Drosophila melanogaster: one gene and its partner. The protein of the gene in region 1 interacts with the protein of each later gene in a biochemical or structural test. Each region holds a gene or a part of one and is shown on either strand. Other genes may lie near its edges. The genes, in order: Ptp10D and Gp150.

Region 1 (5,070 bases):
ATTTATGTATATATATTTATATCACAAATCTCCTTCGATATCCCTTTGTAATCTATAAAAACACTTCCAGGCGCAGCTTTATTTTTCAACAGTTTTAATTTTGGGAACTTTACAAAGCATATAAGCATACCCCAAATCCATATCCTTATAAACTTTGTAGTTATTACAAATGTGTTCAAAATTAAAAAAAAAGTTTGTCATCCAAAATCCAATCCGCTAAATACAATATAATCATTTTAATTGATCTATGTTACACTTCTATAATGTCTACTGGACAAAATATGATTAAGTTGAAATTTCAAAGTGTTTTTGAAGTTCGTACTAGCGAAGTTTGGCTGTAGTTCAATACTCACAGAAAGGGAGCGAGACATATTCCCATCTCGCTCCGACCTGTTATCAAAGCCTTTGCCATTGTCCTTGGCGTTGCGTTCTTATCACCGGCGTATCGGAGGGAATATATGATTTTTTTTTCGGCCAAGTGGTTCTAGTGGTAAATATGAGGCGGTGGGTGGTTTCGGGGGGTTTGGGGGAACGGCGGTTGGTGATGGGCGCAGAGAAGGCGGGAGGCGGGGGGGAACACGTTTCGTTATTTTTTGTTTTATAGCGAAATTCCTCTAGCTATAAATGTATGCATACATATATGCTATTAACTTTTCGTTTAGCTCAATTTTTTGTTTGTATTTTTAATTATAACTCGGTTTGTCTAGTGTGTAATTAAATTAAAAGTCCAATGCTAATTCCCCAGCGAATCGTTCAGTGTTTGTTCAAACGAGTTGTGCTCTTTAAACACTTTTGGCTTATCCTTTCATTTAATTTTTGTTTGTTTTCCTTGCGTTGTTATATGTCCAAATAAAAATGAAAGTTTGAATTGTTTTTTTTTAGTAATTTAGTTTTAACTGTAATGTCAAATGTCAAGAGGTATACTCTGTATAAGAATAATAATGTGTAATGTAATTTTTAGAACTTGCTAATCTCTAGCAATTAAAACATAGCCTGTAATTAACAATAATTAATTATAATAACCAGTAACAGTTCATGCAAATGAAACCTTAATAAATAATAAATTATATAAAAGAAGATGGAAGTGTTTTCAATCAATGAAGTTACTTCCTATTTTCAGGAGTTGGAATGTTACACTTTTTTATAAGCTGATTTGAAATGCGCGCCACATTATATCTGCCTTGCGCGCACGCATTGCAGCCGAATAACGGCGAATTAACTCCCCTCAGAGGTGAGTTTGAACTATCGATTATAATCGATTGCATTCGGAAACAAAAAACACCTTGAGTTTGGTCAGATCGGTTTTGCGCGGGATAAATAATAAAATATTAAATGTTTTCTTTGTTAACATTTCGCTGTGCATGCTGTCTGGGTACACATATACAGCCTATCGCCTTGGCTCACTAAGCCCATGGCTCAGATGTCCATTTGGACTAACATTTTGTGTGAGTAATTGAATAATAAGAATTACGGAGCTCGGACTTGTAATGGCCGAAGTACTACTGCCGCAATGCTTGGTTCACGTTAAAAAGAATCAAGTGCAACAAATTTAATTGTATTTAACTATTTTATAACCGCGCAGCAAAGTAATGGTTAATTCTGCTTTTAAATAGTTGACAGTTACAAGCGAAACATAGAAGCCGCGCAGGTTCCTATCGATACCATCGCTGGGTCATCGATTATTTGTCCAGCTCTACAGGTGAAACGAGCGTTGGCGATTCCGATTCCGATTCCAATTCCGATTCCAAATTCGACTCCGGACTCGAATCCGATTTGAATCAGATTCCAATTCAGTGTGGTGAAGAGCGAACCGGAGTGCGGACGGTACGGACGCGAAATCTGTTAAGGCGGGCCGCAAAGCAAACGCTCGAAAAACGCAAAATTTGTCGATTGTCCGTTCCGCTTTTTTCTTGTGTCTGTGCTTTGCGTCGCGTGCCTGCGTGTACGTGTAAGTGTGCGTGCGCCTGTGTTTGTTTTTTGTTATTTTTTTTATAACCAACGACAACAACAGAATAGAAGTAAATAAAATACACAAATTAACGGTGTATATATTTAAATGTTTTGGTTTTTTTTAGTGGCGTGCCGAATGAGCAAAATTTGAGAAAAACGCAGTGGAAAACGTAAGAAATGCTGAAATAAAGCTTAAAGTAAAAGCAGAAATTGAGAGTTGTTTGTGTGTGTGTGTGTATGTGTGTGCAATAATAATAACAAAAAATGTTGGCCGAGGGGGGCAGACAGACACAGAGCGAGAGAGGTAGAAGCAACACCTACGCAGCTTTTTTATGTATTATTTCGTTTTTTGGCATGCCGCTGCTTTCTCTCTTTCACACGCAGCCTCATTTGAATATTTTGTTGTTGTGCGGCAAATTTCTCCACTTCCTGTTTCTCTGACGGCATTCAATTTTGGGGGATCATTTTGGCTTGTTTCATAAAATCTCTATTAATGCTGACAATAAGTTGCGAAAAATTTCCAGTCGCATTAAAAAAACTTGTCCCACATTTAACAATAAATAAGAGGTGAAGAAATACGTTTTTAAAAACTTGTTTTGTTTTTGTGTTTTATGTGCCGAGATCATAAAGCTCTCTCTCTCCCTCTCTCCCTCTCTCTCTCTCTTGCTCTTCTCTCTCGACCAGAAGGAAAAAGATCAATCAAATCAATCTGCTCTGCTCTTCTTCTGTCTTCCTCTCTTTGCAACAAAGTTGAAGGTCTTTTCTGCATGACAACGTTGCCAAGCGCAGAAAGCAACAACAAGACAGTGCAACAATAACAAAACATACACAGAACAAAATTAGAGTAGCTTAAAAGGGAACTCCTAAATTAAATTAGTCCTACAGCAGGATTACCAATTCATTACAAGTCTATTCAAAAGATACAAGGACAACATCTTTAATTTTCCAGAAGATATGATACTTGTCAATACAATTTGAATTTTGTGCCGTGTATCGTTTTGATTTCGCAAAACTGGTTTTCAGACGTTTAGTTTTATTTGTTCTTCATATTTATTTGGTTTTTTTGCTGGCTGCGATATTTTAAATATTTCAATGACGTCAGCGCAGGCTAAATTATTGATCAGCAGTATTTTTTTGCAACTGCACAAGACAGTGCAATTAATTAGCACTTGTCTGCGAATTAGATTTAAATGAATTTAATGCATTGCTTAATCACACAGTTCCAGGAATGAAAACTTAAGTAGAACGGGTATTTCAATATTATACTTTACTGCTAGATAAGTAAAATAATTGATATTGATTTATTAAGCAAAGTCTTAACAGTGGTTTTTAAATCTCAAATGTTCAATCAAATTTGCATTTGCCTAGTTCCACTGTGCAGAAATATAGAAACAAGTCGCAGAAAAATATGAAAAAATAGGAACTGAAGCTTTCGGCGCAAGCGCAAAGTGTTGGATAAGCAGAAGAGGAAGCAGAGCAGGTAGAGAGCAGGACAGCGGCACTATCTAGCTGTCTCCCTCTTGCGATCACTCTTTCAGTTATTTTTAATTCATACTCTCTTGCAGATCACAAAATAAAAAACAAACAAAAACAAAACAAGAATATGTTTTAATCAATTCAAATTAAACCAACAAATTGCAAGCAATTGGATTCAGGATAAAAATTTACAAAATTTCACCACACTAACGGGAAAACTGTGAAAACAATGCATTTAATCAAAGTAAAGACTAAACTCGCGCTAAAAATGCCCGAATTCGAAAGAAACTAGCGAAAAGCCCAATTCAAAAATCGCACAATAAATTGCAAAGTCCAAAGCAACAACAACATAGGAACAAATAAAACAAGAAGCAGGCAACAAAAGAGAGCCAGGCGGAGAGGAAAACAACAACGAAAACAGCAAAACGACGGCCCCAAAATGTTGTACCAGCTAAGTAAAGCCACTACTAGAATCCGGCTCAAAAGGCAAAAAGCCGTTCCACAACATCGCTGGCTCTGGAGTTTAGCATTTCTGGCAGCATTTACACTAAAGGTAAGCGAGAGGGCCAACAAAAACATGGCCAAAACACACAATAGCGGGTGGATTTATAGGCCCGTCGAATTACCCGTTTCGGAATCTTAGCTTGGGAGAAACGATTATTCAGGATAATAATAATAATTATTCAGGATACATCAATACAAGAGAAATATGCAAAATTAGATAGGAGTTCAAAAGATATGATAAACAACAATAACCTCGAAATGTGCACAAATAACTTTCTAAATTCGAGGGCTATCGAAACGACAAGGTTCTGCAAACATTGTCCGAAGTTATTTAATTATTTATTTGTGACGACCCCGCCCCCGCCTCGAATTAAACCGCCCACATGGAAATCATCGTCTTCGTCACTTTTGTCTGTGGTCTTTCCCATGTTAATTAAATTCAATTATTTCGCATCGTGTTTGCTTTTCGCCATTGTTTATGCGAATGTATTTGCCTCACTGGACACAGTACTAAAAACAAACAAACAAACAAAGCAACAAACAAACTCCAATCCGATCAAAGACCTTGAGGAAACAACAAACAAAAGCAAGAGTAACAAACAATAACCGAACAAGATTTTGCATTTTGCATCTCAAGTCGTGTGCTGTGCAGATATGAAGTAGAATGCATTTAACAGAAGATGATGACATATTTATACCCTGTACACTCAGAATAATTAAATATAACAAACTTAACAGATAGTTATATTTTCGTTTCAAGGAATTTGTCTAAATACTTTGCATGCCTGGCATTTTTAATTGATACTTCGAGCTGTGTTGCATAATAAGTAATTGCATTGCCGATTCCTCGATGTGTGCAACTCAGCTGAGTGATGCAATCGATAAGGCTGGCAATTTTCCTAATTAGGTTTTTCACTGTTGCACTTTTGCACGAATTCAATTTTCATAAACTTTATACTTTATGGGTAAATATCTGAATATAGGGGTTTTCATAGGGCATCGATGCGGTGCTACTAACTCACGTCGTATTGTTATGTACTATTTGCTTTTAACTGGTCACTGGTTACTAAGGGTAATTAATCATTACACATGTGGGCACGACTTGTCATGAATTCTGGATCCGCAATGAACCGGCTAGAA
Region 2 (7,877 bases), on another chromosome or scaffold:
GGTAAACAAATCAGGTTTCCGACGACTAAGCACAATGAAAAGCGCTTTCCAGCTTTTCAGCTGGGGGCAGAAAGTCGTGCCACAAGCCAGACTGCTAGAATCGACTTATCCGGCACTCTAAAAGTCGGAAGCTGGGATCGAAATACGATACAGATATCGCTAATGAACCGCCCCCGCCAGGTGAAAGCCGGTTTCTCATTTGCACCACCTCCTTAAGTTCTTAATTTATGTTACGCTTCCTGCTTCAGATTCAGGGCTATATATACGGTGCACCGATCGATCCAAACAAAGGGCAATTGCTGGCAAGGCGAGGAAGCAGGCATAAAACTCGGATTCGAATGGCTGAAATCAATTTATGGAGTTTTAATCACTGAATTCCCATGCAGGGAATTCCCTCAGATAACAGCAAATGCACTTTATCGACTAAAATGCAGCACACAAGGTGCAATTTTATTTCCGATCGATCAGAAGGCATTACTTCGCGATAAATTTTGAAAAGGTCTTAACTGAGAAATGTCGTTTCGCTCACACGAACTTGCAGCTGCTGCAAAATTTTACCCTGAAGTGTAATTAGTTTGCCGACTTGGCAAGTACGCGTCTCTTTTAAGCTCCAGTGACCTTCTTAGATAAGCTAATCGATTTCCTATAATCGAATAGCAATTTTAATTGATTATGACACTTCTCACTATATACTACATATAGTATTACAGACAATATGTACACACTAGACACTACAAAGTGTCATTGCGATTAAACTATTTACGTAAACATTAACGACTTTATTTTGATTGTAATAGAGCACATTCGGTGCGAAGAGTTCAAGCAACTCGAACGTGACACCATCGGTTATTATTTAGAAATTCCCTTTCGAAATGTTTGAGTTTGAGCGAATTGAAATGGCTTTTAGCAAGAATTTTTCGTAACTGGTAAAGTCATCTGCCTGACTTTTGGCTGCCACCGGGCTAACTTGGCTCACACATCTGCTCCGAGTTCGAGTGGCAGTTTCCAGCCAAAAACCAGTCTGGCCATCTTTGTGAGCCAACAGTTTCCCCCTTTTTGTACCAACCTTTTGTGCCAACTGCGTGTTAGTCTGTGTGGTCAAATGTCGGCATTTTTTATACTTTTGTGTTTATTTTTTATGTGCACGCCTTGGGCAATTTTGTCCATTGTACTGCCTGTCTGCCTGGCTGCAAAAAATTAACGTTGCAGAAATTATATTCCAGAATGGCTTCAACCGAGTGGGATACACTATGATATATAGATGGAAATGTTATATCTGAGCAGTTGGCCAGTGGTGTATTTTCTAGCAGAAATAACAATCGTAAATCGTCAAAATCCGCAGCAACTCGTGATGCTAATGAATCGGTCAACAAATTTGACGATGTCGTGATCCGCAGATTTAAAGCCGGATGAAATTGGCTTGAGCCACCCTAATGAAGGCATCAGCTGAGGCATTTCCGTTTCGCCTGTCCCTCCACTCTTTCCATGAATCGATATCCTTTAAAGGGGACACATAAGTTCCCGAAAAAATGCAATATTCTACCTACACGTCCGTTTCTCTCGTTTCACTTCCTGTTAACGCCAGCTATTTTTACCCAGACATCTCAATCACTATCTGCCCACGCACACAGACTCATGATCGCATTATTTTGGGTATTTCTTGGTATTTGCCAGAGACACATTTGTGTTGATCGTAAGACGGAATCAAGGCGAAACTACCTGAGTTCGAGGTTCATTAGCCAACCTTGCTAATCAACGGGATCTCTCTACCCAGAGGAATGCAGATATTTTTCGGGCATATACTTGGTATATTGACTGCCCAAGGGTCGCACCCAGTTTCCAATTTCCGATCGACGACGCACCCATGCACAATTTGATAACCGGGCCCCATCTGCTCTCCAATCCACATGACATTTCTGGGTAACTTGATACTTAAATGTGGGTTGGCGGGTCTCATGGGAAGCGTTTATAATTCTAATCTGTTGACAAAACCGACCACATGCCAACCGTCTGTGAACCAGTTGATAAAAACCGAAAGACAACCAATGGAGCCAAATCAAAATATACTAATAAATTGAATAGAGGTTTACGTTTAAACAAATCGTGTCTTGTATCAAGACTCGAAATCATTTTGTTAGGCGATACTCTGATACTCTGTGGAAGTGTGCCTTTAAACGAAGCGATCCAAAGTGTTTCCGTATCGGGTTACGTTAAGTACGGGGCCATTATGTATGACAGGGCCAGATCAGGGTTTATCTCGATCGAATGTCAAAGTGTTCTAGAAACAGTTTCAGGAAAGCATTTCCCCATTAGCTGGACGTTAATTAGATGCACGACACTACAAAGCACTCAGTTATAGATTTTTATTTACTGGCGGGGGAGACAGATCAATGGAGGGATGGGGCTTACCGATTGGATATATCCCGACTAGTCTAATCTTTACAGCTGTAGATAGCCGCAGCAATATGATGAATTGGCTGACTCACGAATTTCCGAGTGGAAAACGTATTTGCATACATGTACAAGTATGGCCAGTGCCAGTGCCAGTTACCGGTTTCTCTCTAAACTTGAACAGAGTCTACCCTCGTATAGCCCAGTTCAAGCGGACATCTGTGTATACAGACATATATACATACATATATCGCTGCAATGACAGAAATGGAATTAATTATGGTCGGAGTGTCGGCGGCGCCTTGGCCAAAGCTAAAGCCAAAGCCAATTTCAAGCGAGCCAAAAACCGCTGTCTTTCTTGACTCGATGAAATGTGTTAGCCGAGAGACCTAAACACGTTTAATGCGATCTCGAGACTGCAGTTTTCCCTTCGCGCTTGTGTCAGGCTCCCAGTCAACCTGACACCCACTCGCAACGCGGAGCTGGCTGCTAAGCGGTTTGCTGTGGGGTCTAATGAAATGCTCTAACATACGATATGTGCGCACATATGTTCCCATAGCCGCCATACTGTGTATTGGCTGGATAAATGCGATCTATTCTGGCCGCCTTAACTGCGCATTTTGCATTTTACACTTTGCTGGCGGAGTCGGATCTCTCGCGATCCCGGGTCGTTTGCCTGGTTACGAAAAGCAATAATACCCAAAGCTCTTTGTTTACCACTCGGCGAGCCACGGTCTCGAATTATGTGTTTGCTTTGCCATGAAAACGAAGGCAAACACAGGCGGTCTTTCAATAGGGCCATCCGCCATGGAATCCGCATCGAATGGGTGGAAAATGCATTCCAAAACTACGTAAATTGCATAAGAGACCTGGAGAGCGTCGAGTTTTCAGTCTGGTTTTGAGAATTTCTTAGAATCAGCGAGCTGGCAAACGAGTTCATAATCGGCGTCAAGAAACGCTCAGTGGGGATTCCCTCATATCGAATCGATTCCAAAAAGCACAATGTGATTACCCAATCGTTTAGTTAGGGTAACCAAACCAGTCGCGTGCAATCAAAGGGCAAGCAAACTGAAACTCAAATAAACAAGCTCCAGTTGATGACAGACCAACTCGAATCGCGAGATTGAGAGTCAGCAATTCTCCAGAAACTATTTTCGGCATATGCATTACTGTTAGATGATGTATACAGTACTAATCAATAAGGGAAGTACTTTGCGGATACGGTAGTGCGAATTGTGCTTTCACTGGATTCTGAGTAACGTGTTGAAAATACGCAGCGAATCATATGGGGTGCAAAACAATTGCCATTAAACGATAAGCAAACATTTGGAAATTCGTCGATTCGAATGTAGTGTACCTACTAAATTAGCATGCGAAATGATGTCAACTCTCCGGGTGCCAATGTGCTAATTGGGGCAGTCAACTTGGCTCACCATTTCGTCATGCAGATCGGTGATTTTTAAGGAAATAGGTGGACAATGTGCGCATTCTGAGACCAGCCATGAGCTCGGCCACCTCTCCAGAATGTGGTTGATTCAATAAACGCATATCTACTTATCTGGCTCCAGCAATTAGCGATAAGATAGGGCCCGTTGGGTGTGAGTCGTCTGTTTTTGTCATTTTCTCAGAAGCGGCCATTACTGTACTGTATAACGTTGAATTTCCTGGTCCATTTCAGTTTGCCCATCTACAGGAAAATGAGTCGCCAGTCGACTTGCAGGCTAGTCCTGCTGCTGGCCTTTACCCTGGCCCTAATCCACGCCAGCCACTCAAATACCGTGGGCCCCAAGATCCACTTCATTCATGACGATCTGACGGAAAACGAGCTGAACTCTGGAGAGGAGGTGAGCCCGACCGAGAGTCTGCCCAAAATCTCCACCCCCAAGGTAAAGGATTTACCCGTGGAGACGACCACCAGGAGCCCCACAAAAAAAACCACGTCCTCCGGCACCGAGAAGTCCCTTAGCGAGGAGGCTTGGAATGATCTGATGGAGGCGGCCAAGCACAGCCAAGCTTTGGCTGATGATCCACACTTCAACAAGATGCTCAATACTACCGTCGCCGCCGGGGAGAAGAACTCCACCGATACCGACGATAGCGAATACTATGACTACGATGATGATTACAACTATTTCGATGAGGAGACGGTGACGATTTCCCCCAGTCCCAAGAAGGCCAAGAGCAACCCCAAGCTGCAGCCCATTGTGGATGCCACCATCACGAAGTCCAAGGTATACTTCCCCCATCATCCTTAAATTCAAATAAATATGTTTTCGTACTTTACAGAGCAAATCCAACGACCAAAAGACCAAAGAGAGTGCTAACGATATCGACAGCGACTCTCAATATGACTACGACGAGGGTCTGGATGATGATGATGACGAGGACGATGCCGCTGACGACCTTTTGACCGATGATGAGCAAGTTGTCTTCAGCGAGGACGTTCCGTGTCCAAGATTCTGCCAGTGTGCCCGGAATGTCAACAGCTATCTGGTGGCCACCTGCAGCAGACTTGACATGGGCATCCAGAAGTTTGGCTCTGACATTACGGATTTGGTTGTGACCAATGTGGGTCCTAAGTACCCCATCCTGATGGGACCCAACTTCTTCCAGAATCTGGGTCTTAAGAACGTGGCTTCCATCAAGATCGCCAACTGCACCTTGGAGTACCTGCACGCCGAGGCCTTCCACGGACTGAACGAGCTGTACGCTGTTAACTTGACGGATGTTGGTTTGGCTATCATTAATCCCGATACCTTTGTTGGAAACAAGAAACTGCGCATGCTGACCATTTCGGGTAACGACTTGAGTGTGATGTCCAGCATTCACTATTTGCTGAAGGTGAGTGATTTCAAAAACCTTTACCTTGAAATCCAGCTAATAAATTATAATTTTGCAGTCTTCCAGCATTGAGGAGCTGGACTTCTCGCGCAACAACCTTATGGAGTTGAATCCCAAGGCCTTCTCCCATCTATCCAATGTCGTCTACATTAACTTGAGCCAGAACAGTCTCAAGAAACTGCCCGAGAAGGCTTTCGAGAAGGTTACTCTTCTGGAAGAATTGGATCTGTCTTACAACTCGCTGACTGAATTGCCCCGCGATATCTTCAATGGCACCACCCTGTCCATACTGCACCTGAAGTACAATACCTTCAATGGCGATCTGCACTTTGGCACCAAGGATCTGCAGCAGCTGGACTTGAGCTTTAACTCGATTGTCCAAGTGCACCACAGCATGTTCGACAAGATGCCCGGTCTGACCAACCTGAACCTCAAGGGCAATGGCATTAAGAAGATCCAACCGGACTCGTTCCTTACTTTGAAGAACCTGCGCCACATCGATTTGTCCATCAACGATCTGGACCAGATCTCGGGAATGCTGTTCTTTAAGAACTCTGAGCTGGATGTGATCCGTTTGAACGACAATCCTCGTCTGAGCCAGTTGCCCACCGATGGCTTCTTGAGCTACAGTGGGGAGTTCACCGTCTACTACCTGGATATTTCCAATTGCGCCATCGGTCCATTGGGTCACAAGGCCTTCTCCACTATGCCGCATTTGACCACCTTGAAGTTGGCCTGGAACAACATTAATCATCTGCCGCGCGAGATTTTCACTGGACTGCACAAGCTGATTGACTTGGATCTGAGCAACAACCTGATCACCCGCATGGACGATCTGATCTTCATGGACAACGGAGAGCTGACTAAGCTCAGTCTGGCTGGAAATCCCATTAGCCGCTTGTCCGTCCGCCTCTTCCTGCCGCTGCACCAACTGCGATGCCTGGACGTCAATGACTGCGAGCTTACCACCTTGCTCTCCGATCGCGACTTGGGTGCGGGTTACAAGATCTTTGACAGCCTGCGCTCCTTTAACGCCTCTGGTAATTTGATCAAGAAGATCTCTTCGGAGGATGTGAAGAGCTTCAAGAACCTGCGTTCTCTGGATATCACCAACAATCCGCTGAAGTGCACTCCCGACTTCCAGGAGTTCATCAGCTACGTCACTCTTCAGATGCAGATGACTCCCAAGCGTCTGCCCGTGCTGGCCAATCTGGAGGACGATGCTACTATTGTGCAGCTGGAGACTCTGGCTCAGGCTGGTTGGTCGTCTTTGGCCCACGAGGTGTGCAAGCATGCCGAAGGATCAGATCTCTTGGACGAAAAGAAGGCCGACAGTGCCGAAGCCAAACTGGAGAAGCGTCTGAAGGAAAGCGTGAAGAAGCTTAACGAGGATGAGGCTAAGTTGCTGAGTGTCCTGGACAAGAGTGTGCTAGACAAGAGCAGGCTGAGCAGCATGCAGAAGATCATGAAGGGATCGGTGAACACTGAAACCGCGAAGCCTGAGGAAGATGCTGACGAGGAGAATCTGAACAATGGCGGCGAGGATAAGGAGGATGACAGCAGTGACTATGACAGTGAGGAGGATGATGATGACGATGATGAGGACGATGATGATGACAACAACGATGATGATCGCTTCGAGGAGGCCAAGAAGAATGCCAAGGCTAAGGCCGATGCTAACAAGGCCTTCGACACGTTCGTGAACAAGGAACTGAAGCCAGTCCTGAAGACCGATGGTATCCAGGCGGAGGAAGTGGACATGTCTCAGGAGACCCGTGATAAATTCCTTCTGGGTAAGTTTTAGCCAATCATTCGTTGATGGAATGTATTCCAATCGTATGTTTTACCTTCTCAGAGAAACTGGGCTTCGACAGCGAAAGCGAGGAGTCAGATGAGTACACCGAGAAGATGATCTTCCACGGCGAACTATCCTACGACCTGGTGGTCCCACTGATCGTCGTGTCCTTCTGCCTCCTGATGATCGTGCTGTCCATCGCCCGAGTGATCTACGTGGTGCTGCGCAAGCGCGGCGAGCGCTATCGCATGGCGCTGCTGGCCTCAAAGAACTCGTTCGTATACCAGAAGTTGAGCGAGGACATCGTGAAGCCGACCAGCAAGGAGCAGAAGGAGCCCAAGCATCTGAAGCAGCCAAAGGTGCACCGATACGCGCCCATCAATCAGGTCTAAGTCCACCTAGAATCAGCAGTTCCGGGCCGGTGGCCGCGGAAATCGAACGAGTTGCGCTGTTTTTCTAATTTATAAGTATATTGATAGTTGAAAAAGTGGAAAATCACATCAGACAATTGACTAAACACAAGCACAAGAATGTAAGAAACAGGAGGAGGAGCAGTAGGTGGCAGTTAAAAGTATTAGCGAAAGTGCGAGGAAACAAAGCAACAACTAAAAAATACTTGAATCCAAATAAGAGATTGAAAGAGAGAGAATAAATCTTTGACAAAATCCTTTATCCTTGAAATATCCTGTACCATCAAATACTGTTAAGACCAGTCAAAGGTCCTTGGCAACAGCAGAGGTGGGCTTTCAGAGAACGCGTTTGATGAGCAACCGTTTCGAAAGCAACGGATTTGCAATTTATCAAACCTCTGCCCACAATCCGTATCCAATTAGTCCATATCCGGGAACAA

Evidence for each region.
Region 2: of the proteins of Ptp10D (region 1) and Gp150, one has a biochemical effect on the other in vitro, tested with the Drosophila melanogaster proteins (2 studies listed by BioGRID).

What each region holds. Positions count from the first base shown.
Region 1 is NC_004354.4:11,620,238-11,625,307, forward strand, and holds the start of Ptp10D (protein tyrosine phosphatase 10D), read left to right. Parts: upstream 1-1,777; 5' UTR 1,778-1,948; exon of another isoform or gene 1,949-2,120; intron 2,121-3,515; exon of another isoform or gene 3,516-3,592; 5' UTR 3,593-3,865; coding exon 3,866-3,979; intron 3,980-5,070.
Region 2 is NT_033778.4:22,321,106-22,328,982, forward strand, and holds the start of Gp150 (Gp150), read left to right. Parts: upstream 1-1,797; 5' UTR 1,798-1,864; coding exon 1,865-1,920; intron 1,921-4,012; exon of another isoform or gene 4,013-4,069; coding exon 4,070-4,622; intron 4,623-4,677; coding exon 4,678-5,232; intron 5,233-5,290; coding exon 5,291-7,025; intron 7,026-7,087; coding exon 7,088-7,419; 3' UTR 7,420-7,877.